Linked DNA regions of Alligator mississippiensis. The protein of the gene in region 1 binds, or shares a complex with, the protein of each later gene. Links are inferred from orthologs where the notes say so. Each region holds a gene or a part of one and is shown in the gene's direction. Other genes may lie near its edges.

The links. Proteins that work in one complex are often made in the same cells at the same time.
Region 2: the proteins of ROBO3 (region 1) and NELL1 are in contact, whole or in part, in a crystal structure (PDB 6POL), measured with the Homo sapiens proteins. The link is inferred for Alligator mississippiensis from reciprocal best matches to the Homo sapiens genes ROBO3 and NELL1. Residues at the interface, in NP_071765.2 of Homo sapiens: Ser553, Pro555, Val590, Glu592, Phe594, Pro596, Asn600, Thr601, Trp602, Thr604, Ile624, Leu626, Arg630, Gly633, Ala634, Trp635, Gly636, Leu637, Ser638, Glu639, Pro646, Val647, Arg648; in NP_006148.2 of Homo sapiens: Ala440, Lys441, Met442, His443, Tyr444, His446, Tyr458, Arg468, Val469, Asp470, Asp471, Phe472, Ser473, Asp478, Ile492, Cys493, Thr494, Asn495, Thr503, Cys504, Lys505, Pro506.

The regions. Positions count from the first base shown.
Region 1 is NC_081839.1:20,587,343-20,594,417, reverse strand, and holds the start of ROBO3 (roundabout homolog 3), read left to right. Parts: upstream 1-3,972; 5' UTR 3,973-4,044; coding exon 4,045-4,192; intron 4,193-7,075. UniProt on the Homo sapiens protein: Receptor involved in axon guidance during development. Acts as a multifunctional regulator of pathfinding that simultaneously mediates NELL2 repulsion, inhibits SLIT repulsion, and facilitates Netrin-1/NTN1 attraction.
Region 2 is NC_081825.1:212,993,087-213,000,686, reverse strand, and holds the start of NELL1 (protein kinase C-binding protein NELL1), read left to right. Parts: upstream 1-4,597; 5' UTR 4,598-4,721; coding exon 4,722-4,773; intron 4,774-7,600. UniProt on the Homo sapiens protein: Plays a role in the control of cell growth and differentiation. Promotes osteoblast cell differentiation and terminal mineralization.

The DNA.
Region 1 (7,075 bases):
GTCTAAATTGCACCTACACATGTGGAGTTATACGAGCAAACTTCACCCTGATACACAAGACCTAAGGACATTAATGGTCCCTGGCAACTCCAGTCTCTAACACTCAGATACCTGAAATGAACTTCCTGCCTTAACTCCATCTTAATCGGGTTTTTTTTCTGGGAACACATGTACCATTGGAAATTCCAGTACTGAGAAATCATTAAGATTCAAACTGAGTAATGAAGCTGTTAGGATGCAGAGTCACTTTAAACATCTGGGAAAAGCATAAAGAGATTTATTACTAACCTGATTACTACACATTAAATACAAACATGCCAGTGATTTACAAAGAATACATAGTAGGTTCAAGTTTTAACAGTATTTTTTGGTCTGGAATGCATTTTAATGGGAATCTGTGTTGAATTAGAAATGGTCACATGTGGGCAGGTGAAGATTGCTTTCCAATCTCATTTTTTCCTAATCATAATGCTTGATATGCAACTTAAGGGGTCACTCCTAATGATCCCCATTCTTTTGTCTCCCAGTAGTACAATGCTAATAGCCTTAGCTTCAAAGGTTGTCTTGAAGTGTCCAATTCTCCATCTTGCCTCCCACAAGCATTCCAAAATCATGTGTCAAGACCCCCACAATCATAAAACTGGCTTAAAAATCATGAGGTGTTTTTTTTTAAGAAGAAAGCAAATAATTTGGTGCTCTTTTTATTTGCCTCTTGCATTTGAGCCTCTGAGGATCACATTTTACAGGTTTCTTCTGGCAATCAGGAGAGCTATAATTTTACTATTTCTTTTAAATGAGAGAGGCGCTTCCATCATACTCTTCTGACTCAGGAGACTTTAAGGAAAACACCAGATCTTGTGAGGACAAGCAAGACTACACTCTGCCTGGAAGACACAGCTAGTGCATATTAATCTGCATCCTCTTTTTAAGCTTGAAGCTTCATAACACGGCAAAGGGATGGCATTTGCCTGGTTGGGACTATTATTAATATGCTGTGAAGGGAAAGGAGGGTTTGTTTTATGTTACTCCTGAAGGAGAAGAAATTACTCTAGTGTGCAGGAAAATATTACCTTGTTTAGCAGGTGGAACACCTTGATGATGGACATAGACCAGGTTCTATCAACTTGTTTAGTTTGCCGGTATTCAACATCTCCTTCATTACTATGGAAGGGAAGGAGAGGCTCTCCTGTGGCAGCGAGAAACAGCAATAGCCTTCTTAGCAGTGGGTTAACATTCTCATAGTACTGCAGAATAGCAGCGTGTCTTTACAAAACAGGATTAAACCAAGGGTCTGGAATGGCCCCTCACTGACACCAGTGTAACTCATTCATAGTGTGCAAAGTGGAGGTGAAAGGAGAATCTGATGCACTTAGAGCTGAACTCCAAAATGATACAAGACAAGACAGGAGGACACTGCCCCCTGGCAGCAGAAATGCTCCGCAAAAACGGACTTAGAGCAGGAGTGGGCAAAATACAGCCCACAGGCTGGTTCTGGCCTGCTAATAGATTGGATCTGGCCTGTGGCTACCCATGCAGCACTCTGCATGGGGCTGAGCCCTGCCTGGGGCAGCCCGTGCCACACTCCCACCACACCTGCCTGCCCCAGACCTGGCCAGGCCAGTGTGCACAGCTTCCCCATGGGGTCGCTCCCAGTGCATCTGCCTGGATGCTGTGCAGCTCTCCCCACCTCCAGTGGCTCCTCTTCCTGCTGTGCAGCTCTGGGCATGGGGGAGGCTCCTGGCAGCTCCTGTCCCAGCGTGTGGAGCTCCAGCTCTGTTCACCTGGTACAATGAGCAGTCACCTACAGGCACCTGAGAGCAGCCACTTAACTCATTAAGTGGCCCTCCAGCCAAAAATAACTGCCTACCCCTGACTTAGAAGAATGTGGGTGGGTGCAAGCATATGGGGGGTAGCTGACTGTTCCCAGCATGAGGCATTGCAAAACAGCCAGAAGTGGGAATGAAGCAAGATAGGGTGGAGGAGCAAGCTCAACATGGAGGACATGCTGCTTGAACCTGCTATGGCTGGACAGTGACAGCCAGTGATGAGGCTCAAGGGGAGGATGGGGAAAAGGAATGGTTTGTTTTGGTGACAGTCTTTTGAATGGACCACAGAGGAAGGAGCCAGTGTCTGCTGTACTACTACTTCTCCTGTCTCTACACCACATTTGACCATTTACGCGTGCTTGTGCTCATTTACTGTACTTTGCAAGATCTGTCATTGTACATGTGCATTTGAGCAGTAGGCATTGCAGCAGATGTTGCGTAGTCTGAGGCTCTGTGCTGCAGTCACAGGTGGTTGAACCAGTGGCATAGCCCTGCTTTTCATTAGTTCCTTGGAACATCTGATAGGTGGTTGAGACATTGTTACCTTTGCCATGGTTTGTTAGGTGGTAAGGATTCAGCCACTGGAACATCCATTTTTTTGCTGTCAGGTATTTTCTTCCTCCTCTTTTTCCACATCCATAGTTGTGTCTCCTTGGGTGTGGCATCAAGAGGTTGAGTGCTGGTGAGGAAGCTCCTGCATGACTTCAGATGTTTGTGTGCTGTGGGACACTCATACAGCAGGTGTCTCACATCTTCAGTTTGCCTCAGTTGTTCTGTCCTACCAGCCACTGCTCTTCCGGACTTCAGTCTGTTCCCTGGTAGGCTGGTAGGCTTCAGACATCCGGTGATGTGCTGGCAGCTATCATTCAGAATGGGGTCAAGGCATTCTGATCAAGGTGCATGTATGAATCTCTCCCATACAGGGCATGTATCCTCGGCAGAGGAGAAACTCAGAGCTAGAACAGTGGTTTGGATGGTTGAGGCACTAGCTCCCCGTTTTGAGTTGGTGAGCTTATATAATGTTGTTATGAGTGCTCACCTTTGCTTTTGGGCTGCTGTACTGATCCACCCTGAGATACTGCAAGAGCTTGGATGTACCAGGAGACTTTTTTCCATCAAGGCTGGTGATGAGGCATTCTCACAGTCACTGCCGATGAGGCTGTGAGAAACCCCACTGCCGTTGAGGCAATCAGGCATTTGACAGTGACTAGGATCCAGTGGAATCACTCGCACTAGCACATTTTCCTACTGCCTTTCTTTCCTTCCTTCCTTCTGCAGCATTATTGAATTCTCAGAACTCAGGGGCCTACGTGGCACACACGCCTCACGACGGTCACAATACAAATGGCCTGATTGTTGCCTGGTTCTGATTTTAGCCTGCAAAAGGACTGTTCTCTTGCTGGTCCTTGTCATGAGCAGGTGTTTAAGTTCCAGCACACAGGTATTGGTGATCAGCTGAAGTGCTCTATTAATGGCTGCTGCGACTGTATCCGCAGGTAGCTGTCTGGCTCCAGCCGTGTCTATGCATGGCTTTATGGCTGTGACCATGCCCACGGTGGGTGTAGGTGTCAGAGGGCAATGCAATGCTGTGTGTTATTTTCTCGATGCCAATGTGGGAGTGCAAAGCAGCAGGTGCCGAAGAAGATAAGTTTAGGGTGTTTCAGAGCTGTCACTGAATTGGGGGAGGGCAGCGGCCAGTGGCAGAGGTGACTGCAATGTGCCCTGGTGCCACAACTCACACCTTGCCTGGCCTCCCCGCTGCGCAGACGAAGGTCCTGGGGCTCAGGCACATGAAGCAGGGCAGTGTCCTCATGCGGGGACGCCGGGACCACGTTGCTGTGGCTGGACCCGGGCTGGGGACGCCCGTGGCGGCGCCCGCAGGAGGAGCTCGGGGGCACCGCGGCCATCCCGGCACTGCGGGGCTCGAGACCCCTCCGGGGCGGGCGAGCGCGCGGTGCGCAGGCAGCGCTGCGGGGCTCCCCCCTCCCGGCCGGGCCGGGTTATTCATCGGATAATTAAACATTTATTGGAGCTGGCACCTGCCTTCCTGCCCGCCTCCCGCGGGAGCGCCGCGCTGCGCCGCGCCGGGCCGGGCCGGGAGGAGGGACGGGGCGGCGCCGCCGGCAGACGCGCTGGAGCAGGCAGAGCGCGGGCGGCGCGGCGCGGAGCGGAGCGGACTGCGGCCGCCCTCCCTCCCCGTGCCGCCGCCGCCATCGCCATGCTGCGCTACCTGCTCAAGACCCTGCTGCAGATGAACCTGTTCGCCGACTCCATCGCGGCCGAGGGCTCCAACTCCTCCGACCTGCTGCTCGGCCTCAACTCCACGCTGGCAGCGCTCGACCTGGGCTCGCTGCCCGGCTTCAACGGTAGGCGGGCCGCCCGCGCTGCCCCGGGTCGCTGGCGCCGGGGCGGGGCGGTGCGGGGCGGCCGAGCCCCCCGCCTCGGGCAGTGCCCGCGGGTCCCGACGGCGGAGTCCGGCCGGCCCAGGCTTGCAGCCCCGGGTAGTTTCGCAGCCTCGGGGCCACTTGCGGCGCGACTTGGTGCCCGCTACCTGCCCCGGGAAGCGCGGGCTCCGCTCCGGCGTGCCCGGCCATGGCAGGACTGCTCCCCGCGGCCGCGGACGGGGCTCCTCTCCCAGGCGGGGCAGGGACGGGCCGGGGGCGGGAAGAGCCGGCCGGGCCAGGACCCGCGGCTGCGGTGACCAGGGCTACGTCTGCGAGCGCGGCCCCTGAGCCCTCAGACCCACAGCAAGTGCCACCCCTGGCACCTGTGCTCTCCTCTCCCGCGAGTTGTCTCACCCCATTGTTTTAAAGACAAAGTGGAAGTCGTGCGGTGCCAGGCCTGCTCCGGAGCCCGCCCCGCATCCCTCCGCATAGTGGCAGGCTTTGGACCATCCCAGTAGGGCTCCAAGGAGCAGCTAAGGTCTTCTGGGTCACCCGTGTTTCTACCCCTCCTCTCCTGCCATGGTCAGTGTCTTGCTCTGCTGCCTTCTAGACCTGAGCCAGGCTGGATTCTGCAAGTCTTGTTCACAACGAGCCCCCAGGAGTTTGGTGCCAAGCCCCCCTCCCTCTTCCTCTTCCCCCTTGGTGCATCCTCTGTAGACCCCGTGCTCCCCGTGACCCCGAAGGTTGGAGGGAGCCTGGGAAATGCTTTGAGCTTCCTAGAAGCTCTTTCAGGTCACCAGGTCCTGGCTGTGAACTCCAAAGGGTCCGTGCCCAGCCCTGTGGTGACACCATGGGGCACTCTCACTTTGAAAGTGACACCTAGTGCTGAAATGCTGCACTCACAACTGCAGATTCCACCTCTGCCAGGGTTTTATTCATTGACTGGAATGAATTAAGCTTGGGAGGGGTTGAGGGATGTATCACTCCCTTATCACAAGCTGACAGTTTGCATTGGTGCTTCTCACAAGGGAAGGCAGAAGGGCCCAGCTTGTGAATCATGAAAGTACCAAGGAGGAAATACCACCTGAGTGTTATTAACAGTTATGTCAGTTGTGTCACACTAGGTTAAGACAGGGCCGGACACGTAGATCTGACAGACCAGCAAGAATTTCCATGTATGTTGGTCTGTGTCATTTTAAACATGACTTCTGAGCTACAGCAGGGGAGAGATCCACAGAAGAGGAGATAGCCCCAACGCCCACAAATCCTTAGGAGGAAAAAGGTACTGAGGAGCCTTGTGTAAGTGCAGCAAAAAGAGCAGCTGAATGTCCAGGAGCAGTTCCTCTCTGTTACACATAGCCTCCTTCACTGCGCAGGCTGCTCCGTGAAAGTGCTTAGTACGTAGGGAGTGGCCACACGTCGTCTGCCCGTCCCCAGTTCCTGCTGTGTGTACTGCTGGTCCGGTCCCAGTGTTGGCTCTCAGTATTGTAGTCCAGGCAGCACATTCTGCACACATTGGTGTTATGCTCAATTCCACATCTTGCCACAAAACTGGTGTTCGGATCCTGAGTATTTAATTTCTCTCTAAAAAAAAGGGCAGTTAAGATCAAATCAGCAAACATTGCCTATTATGACATACCCTGATTTATGCCATCTTGGGGTTGGGATGTGGGACCTGATAATGAAGAAAACCTTACATAATGGGAACCAGGTTAAAGTAATGCAGTGTTTTCCCCCTGGATCTGCATGCAGCCTGATTGTAGATCTAAGACGTGAGAGCAGCCACGTTCATTTCTATGCAGTGTAAAGGCTGAAGCTGTGCGATAATGATGTTGACATTTATGTTGTCAAAAGTAGTAACACCCAACCACTGGACTAATCCCAGGATCCCAACCTGCCACCCAGACCTCTCCAGGGGCTTTCTTCCCAGCTGACAGCCCTGCAGCTTCTGCAGGACAGGTTTGTGTTAATACAAGTCCCTCATCTTCATTTCAAAGAAGTGGGTGTGTTAGCATGATGTGATTTAGCATAATGAGGCTTTGCTGGACATCTCTGTGAGATGATGCCTGAACCTCAGTGTAAACAGGCAGAGCTATGTTGGTAATTGATTTTTCTGTTCAGTGGGGAAATAATAACGTACAATGAAATATTTAATTCAATTTTAAAGCATTTTCCTTTTACTCTTTAATCTTCCTTTTACTCTTCAATCTTCTAAAATTCAAATTAGCTAAATTTTGTCTCAAATCTTCATTCCTACATGACCATACAAAACACATCTTTTCAACATATTTGAAACAAAATGTTTTGACTCTTCCAAAGAAAATCCCATTTTTTTGGCTGAAAAAATTGCCTAACTTGATGAGTTGTTTAATGTGTTCTCTAGCTGCATTTTCCAGCAAATAAATCTCTGTCTAAGCAAATCATCCACCTCTAACAACAGTAGAACTTGTAGTACAATCTTGCTTGGTTTGTTGCTCTAGTTGTACCATATTTAGAAAATCATATATGCTCAATATGATCAGTATAATTGCAGTTGTTTTGTCTGAGATTTGCGTCCCTGTGGGTGAATCTACATGTGAAATGAATGCAAAGCAATATACTCCGGCACAGTCCATGCCGGACTTTATTGCTCTCAGGTGCAGTATTTACATGTGTGCCTGGGACCACAGCACACTGAGCCAGGGCAGAGTAGGGGTGGGGCTTGGGGTGGGGATGGTGGAGTCAGAGGCCAGTCAGCTGGGTGACTTTGGTGTTATGGTTTATTGTGGTGGACTTTTAAAAACAGGTCTGATATTTGTGGCAAGGGAGGCCCCCGTGCCACAGACAGCCAGTGCGCAGGCTGCAGTAGGAGGCTCAGCCACATGG
Region 2 (7,600 bases), on another chromosome or scaffold:
TGTACCCTAATCATTACAGTTCTTTCACATCCCCTATGGTCTATTATGTAAAACTCAATAACGGGTCTTAACCTGTGAGACTAATGCCCCACCATTTTAACATTCAGGCTGTAGGTTTACACCCACTACTTTATTCATTCATCAATACAGGGATGTGCAATTATTTCGGGCAGAGGGCCGCTTACTGAGTTTTGCAAGCCATCAAGGGCTGCATGACAGGCAGCTAGGGGCAGATAAATATTAATTTTCTAAATTTTTTAGGGGCCCCATGGGCCAGATGGAATGGTCTAGTGGGCCGCATCTGGCCTGCAGGTCACATTTTGCCGGCCCCTGCATCAATACTTCTCCTGCTACTATGGATAAGTATTTTGTACACTGCTGCCCTCTACTGGATGCAAAGTCACATCTGCTCATATGATCGTGACCTAAACTTTCCAGACTGTGGCATGACTACAAAGGGTACTACTGCAACTAAAAAACTTTGCATGCTATCAAGTGGTAGACACCCTCTGTTTTCATACTGGAGCTCATGTATTCAATTCTAAATGCTGCATGCAAGTAGTTTAGGTAAAAATTGAGATGTGAATTTTTTCTCATGACACTAACAATAGTGCTTTGGACATTTAATCACCTGCCATCCAGGGAACACAAATTGTTTCATACACCTCCCTGAAGTATTAAGGAGTATAAAGGAAATGTTTTATCAGCCTTTCAAATGCCACAAACTCTGTGGCAGAAAGGATTAGCAATTTAACAACACATGGTCAGCAACATCACAATTATTCAGGTCAGGAAGTGAAGAAATACACAGCTTCAACTAGAACTTCAGGAGGAATTTTTGCAAAGTAAAATATTATGAGAGCTGAAATCCAGCTAAGCTGGCTGGAATTATTAACGCGCTACTCTTACAAAAGTGCTGTCAAACTTCTAATTGCTACAAATGTTCGGGACTTCAGTTTTAAGTCATCTGAACCTTACACCCTCTGGCAACATGCATTTCTGCCATAATCATGTTGGGACTAAGTTCTGTACTAATACAGGGGAAGCATTTGTTACCAGTCATATAATATTAGAGGAAGTGTGAGAATGGCCTTAGGAGGTGCCAGTTTCTCTAACCCTCTATTCACTTCTTCTATTTGGTTCCTAGCAAAAAATACAGAAATCTTTTTTCTTTTCTCCCTGCAATGTGCTGCCTCTGTGAGTTACCAGCAAAGGGCTTTTATCATGTATGACTATATTGGTAGTACCCTTATCTATAGGATTGACTCTGGTTAGAATGTTACTTACTGAAATACCTCCATTACATCCTGCAGCGTCTATGTTTTCCTTTGAGGTTTCTACTCTAAATAGCCACATGGCCCCAGAATTGTTTCAAGCTGGTCTACCCCCCAAAGTTGCACAGGATTTAGGTAAAGGCATGCTTTTAAATTGATTTGCCTAAGTCAGTACAAACTTCTGTATTCATTATCTTATGTATTTTTTTTAATCTTTGGTTATTTTTAATTTAGCTTAAGCTGACAAGGAATCAATTTTTGATAACTCAGGATAAGCGAAGCTTAGTTGATTTATGTGGGACCACTCTGGGTTTGCACTGGTTTAATTTAATCAGTTTAAAAGAAAACCTTCATGGTGCAGCATGAAGAAACAATTAAAATGTCTTTGAAACACTTTAAAGAGCTACCTGTACAAGAGTACTTGCTTTTGCAATGTTCCAAAAGCAGCTGAAGTGCTCCAAAATATTACCGCTTCAAATGAGGTGCTATTTTGCAGCGTTTCCTTTCTTATTACATGAGTATGGGGACAGGGAACCTCTTGGTCCTTCAGAATCTCACAGTGCTCTGCTTTTCCCCTGCTCCTTCATTGGGAGGGGAGGGTGGACAGTCTGACTTAACAGACTGTGCAGCTGTGGGGTCCAACTTGCTGGTCCTTGCCAGTTTGGTACTCAGACCCCCCTGCTGGTGCTGGGCTCTCTAGCCCCAATCACCTCTACCTCTCATAAGGCAGAAGAGACTTAGACTAGAAGATTTCAGGTAGGAGTGGGGTGTGGAGAGCCAAACTGAAGGTCTCTACAGTCCCCTGTAGCACCCCATGTCTGGAGAGCTGTGGCTGCATGCAGCTGCAGCAATTTTTAATCATTCCAGCCTGGGAGTGCCACAGGGGCTGTATCTTTATCCCACATATGAAAAGATACCTTTGTGAAACATTTCCAGCTTTTCAAAAGCTACTCAAGTCTGCATCTTTAGTTAAACCCAGTGCAACTTTGTGTGGAAGTGCACCAGGTCATTCTGTGGCTGAGCAAATGTGAATGGCATAACACAGAGGCATGCTTCAGAGCACAGCATTGCCCTTTCATCTAAGAGACCCATTCCTATTAGTCCATGTTGTCAGAATACCACAGAAGGTGTTGCTCTACAATTAACTCTATTCATTCCATTGGGATAAGAATGGCACTTGCAAAATAAAACTCTAAGGAAAAAAAAAGAAATATATTTAAGACTTTAAAAATGGAAATGGCTAAAAATCATCAGAGTACATTGGTGATTAATGACAGAGAATTTTGGGGACATTGACCTCATAGATTCCACTAAGCATATCCACTGCCTCCAGCCAGGAACACCTGTGTTCTGCACTTGATATAATTTACTAAATAACTAAGCAACCCTTGTAGGCTTTTATTGTTTGCCAAAATAAGAGTACATGAATATAAATGACCCTTAAAGTACTCATATATATCCTCGGTGTTGTAACGTTGAACAATTTTATTATATGTTTAAGCCTGAACAAACAGAGCTTTTTCTTACGTGGCACGTGAGTACCAAATATCCATCTGAAATGACATTGCCCAGTATCAGGCCACTAGGGAGAAAAAAAATCCTCTGGCTTTACAATGAAATGGTGATTCAACTTGAAGTTCTGTAAAGCTAGACAAATCTCTCACGGGAGGTGGAAAGAGAATTAGTATAGTTTTATTTTCCCCCAAAATAGAAATCATTTTGTTTCTCAGTGTCTGACCCCATTTCTACTGATTTAAACAGGAGCGAGATCTGGGTTCCAAGTTTTCTGGACTAAATTTAAAGCCATATTTTATTAGTGAGAAGCAGTAGGTGACATTATTTTATGTGGTATAATGTATTTTTTGACATGCTGGATGGGGTTTAGAGAGACAACAGAGGTTTGTTTTTGTAATTGTTCTGGGTGGTGCTTTTCACTGCAGACTTTCCAAAGCTTTAAAGAATCATCCCAACTGTTTGGATTGAAAACATGAGAACCAGCAGCCAAGTGATTTGACCATGGGAATATAGAGAGCCGGCAGAGGAGTCTTTTGACTCTTTTATCCCCCCCCTGTTTTTCCATTGCTGTACCATTAACAAATGTCAGATCAGCTAATTTATTGCAAGGACTGTTTTCCAAGTTTCCCAAACATTTCTGACGTAAAGCATGTATAGAGAGAATGGTAAGTAAAGATCATTCTTCACAAAAACAGAAGTAGACTCACATCACCAGTGAGGAAGGGTTTCCTAAAATGACCCTTGTTAAACAACTATTAAGTTCTGTACAGAATGGGGTGGCTGCAGGCCCACAACCTGCTGACCCGTAAACAGAGGACAAACGCTTGGAATGAGGGGCACAATACAAGAGTAGTGTAGGAATCTCACCGCTCCGTAATTCAGGGCAGGTCCTCATGTTGATATCCAGATAATGCTTAACTGACAAGAATAAGAGAAAATAAAAAAGAAAAGCAACCGCAGCAAAGACAGAGCAGGCTTCTCAAACTGGCTTCACGAGCTGGGCCAGCTGAAGGGTGGGCGATTGCCATTTTGTCGGGGGTGGCTTGTAATTTTGTGAGTGGCGTGTTCCTCTTAGCCCTTGTGCAGCGCTCCGAGTCGGGGTGGGTGTTTAACAAAAAATAAAAAAAGCTGGGTAAGTAAAAAGCAGGAGCACAAGAGGTTAGCAGATGGAAGCCATGCTGACGCACCCCCCTGCTAGCTGTGCCTCCCCCTCACAGGCCTGCTCAGCAGAAGGAGAAAGGGCACTCTTTCCCATTAATCTTGAGCTGGAAGCAAATCTATCAGTCCCTTCCACAGGCTGGGAGGAGGAGGAGGAGGAGGCCAAACCCCTAGCCACACTGGGAGCAGGATCGGCCGTGTCCTGAGGTCTCAGTGGGTAACAGGTGCAGCCTGAACCCACTGAAGCGGCACTCAGTCAGCTGGGCAAGGTGCAATGCCACCCCCCTAGGAACCCAGCCTAGTGGAGGGCAGGGGCATTCCCAGGGAGGCTGCCCTGCCCCAGCCTCTGCTCCCTCTAGCAAAGGGGTGAGGCGATTCCCCCAGCCCTGGGGTCCAGGCTGCGGCCCCCTGGCGGGAGGGGCATGGTCAAAGCGCCCTCCAGTCCCTCTGCTTCGGTGCAGGTGCTTGGTTGGGGGGGGCTGATCCACTGGCAGCGGAGCGGGGGGCAGGGCCGCCTGAAGCCGGCACTCGGCGCAGCCCAACGAGCGCGGCCGCGGGGGGGGGGAGCAGGGGCGTGGGCCCGGGGCTGACGCGTCAGGGGGAGCGGGGGGGGGGGCCCGGGTTGGGCGAGCATCCCCGAGCGAGGCACATGGACTCTTCCTGGGGAGCAGGACTGGCCGCGGGTGGAGCCGCCGCCGCCGTCTCTGCCCAGCCTGGCGGAGCGCCGCGAGTTCGAGCCCGGCAGCTGCCGAGCCGCGCGCGGGGCCCGCGCAGATGGAGCGCCTCGTGGTGCTGGCAGCGGGCGTGCTGGCTGTGGCCGGGGCAGGTAGGACCCGGGGCCGGGCAAGCGCCGGGGAAACTTTGCTGCGCCGGGGAAACCGAGCCGCTGCTGCTGGCTCTGGGCAGCCGCTGCCCAGGAGGCTCCCTGCCCGTCCTGCGGGCGGGAGAGCGGAAGCAAGGGGGCTCGGACCCGCTCCTCCCCCGCTTCCCCTCGGGGTCTCGGACCCCCTCCCCTTGGGAGCCTCAGACCTCTTCCTGCCTCTCCTTTCCTCCCAGCAGGGTCTCGGATCCCCTCGGGGTCTCGGGCCGCCCCCCTGCTTTCCCAGCAGAGTCTCAGACCCCCACCTCTGCCTGCCTCTCCTCGGGGTCTCAGACTCTCCTCCCCCTGCTTCCCCTCCGGATCCCCCCACCTTTCACTCCCATAAAGGTCTCATCCCCCACCTCCCTTCCTGGCTCAACAGGGCAGGCACCTGCTGGAGGGGGCATTTTTCTCCCCCCTTGCCATACAGCACAGGTGCCAGGGCCAGCAGGAGAGCAGGCTTGGCTCTGGGGGTCCGCAGGCGTGGGGCACGCCTCCCCTGCCCAAGCAGAGCCCTCCTTCCCCACTTGCCAGGCAGGCGACTGGGCACACAGCAGGGACAGGGACTGCTGGGGCAGGCGGGTGGCTTCAGCATGCCCAGCTGGCGGAGTCACCTCTGCCCAGCGGAGCTGCAGCTTGTCCTGCTGGGTTGGAGGGTGGGGGGTCTAGGGAGGAATCCTCCCCACTGAGTTTTGTCTTGGCAGGCTCCTCTTTGGGGACCTTTCTCATTTTGCCCAGCTCCTCCGGGTGAGCCCTCTTGCTCTCTGTTCATTTTTGCGGTGCTTAAGAAGCGGTCTCTCAGGAGGGGCATGTGTGAGGCGAGATTCAGTAATGAAAAGTTTCAGGAAGCCCAGGCTGCCTCTCTCACTCCCTGCTGTTTGTTCATGAAAGGAGAGGATTTGGAGTGAGAACAGGTGAAAGCTGCAGGGAAGTGGGCATTAGCCTGAGAAGGAAAGAAAGAGCAGGTCCCTTTGGATTTTTCTGCTTTCCAGAGTGCTCTGGGATCACAGGGCAAGGCAGAGTTTTGCCACGAAGCTTCCCATTTAATAATGTTGGGAGCGTCCTTTAGGATGTTGGTATTAAACGTGGTCCTTTAGGATGCTGGCATTAAACACGGTCCATTGCCATACGCCTGATACCGTAGCCTGATCAGAAAGCTTCCCTTTGTAAATCTGAGGTTGCTGATCAGTCTTCCTTTTGGGCCGATTAGAAGACTGGCACATTTTTAATTCTGGCTATTTAGTGCAAACGCTTTCTAGGAGGGGCTTTATCTGTAAGAGAGAGTCTCATTATCATCTTGAAGGCATGCATATGCAGATCACACGCATAAGCTGATATCTCGATATCTTTCATCCACAAGTATTGCTATATTGGCTGCAATGGGGGCCATTTTTATTAAAGTGCATGCTTTATTGAGAACTGAAATGTAGCCTCCCTGGGCATTTAGGAAGGTTTAAAGACCTGGGGAATACTTGTAACAGGCAAGATACAGACTACAAATCCCTGATGCAAAGAGTTAATAGAAATAATATAGCAGAAACACATTTTTTTCTTGTGGATTCTTTGTTCTCTTTACTCTCATGTAGTGTACTACTCTTAATAAGCTTGGATTTAGACTACGTGAGGGGGACATTTTCAGGATGATGTGCAAATGATGTTTTCAGGAAAATAACCTGGTAAAATTACTATAGGCACAAATTTATATTTTCCCTAGAAATCAAAGTTTAAGATGGCAGTTAACATAATAAAGTATTGGAGTATTGCCCCATCAGCGAATGTCACTTGAACTTGTAGAGTGTGACAGTAAAGATGCCTAGGGAGAAAATTTCTCTTGTTCTCTTAGCCACTGTAACATTGATATTGCATATTGACACTCAAAATGGTTGCTAAGACTAATTTGAGACTAAATTATTTGGAATGGTAGAGCTCCTTGGAAAGTTATTTTTGTGTAATGATAGGCATCAGTGCTGTTAATGGTCAAAAATGGAATATATGTTTTAGAGTTTACTTCATGCTGCTGTTCAAATGGAAAATATGTGCTAGACAATGACTGGATTGTGCTAAGTACATTTTAACTTAAAGTTCCTTCTCTAGTGCAACTGTATGTATCTACACATCATCTCTCTACACATCATCACATGGATGTCTATCCATGCATAGACATTATCACATAATATAAGCAGGTGCACTGAAAGCATAATTAAACTATAGAGAATTTTCTTTGATCACTAGGACTCGGGTATCCTTGAGAAAGGTGCAGGCAGACAATGCAAGCTGCAAGGGCTGTGAGGCTGCATTCATTTCTTTGAGGGATTTCCTGTTGACATCATTCTTAATTATATGGCTTAAGCCTCTCATGTACTACAGTGCCTTCAAGTCTCATAGGGCCAAATCCCCAGACTCCTGAATTTTTCTACCTTTGCTCAGGCAAACTTCTGAAGCAACTGGAGTTTTTCCTGAGTAAGAAACTGAGTTAAAGATTTGGCCTGTTGACTTGTACAGGGGTTGAAGACAGTCAGCCCGTCACAAGATCCATAATTTGCACAACTTGAAAACAATAATGTTTAAGGAATTTCTAGCTTTTTGTTCTGTTACTAAGAGACAGAGCATACCATATTGGATGCAAATACCGTTGATGTGCCCATAGTTCTCTTTACATAACTCTCCTAGTTAAGATCTCTGAGCCTAGAGACCACAGAGGGAAAAGAAACCTGGTTATAAAACAGAAACTACTGATTTGTCATGTATTAATTATTAAATGACCAGGATTTTGAGTGTCTGCATGCAATCTCAA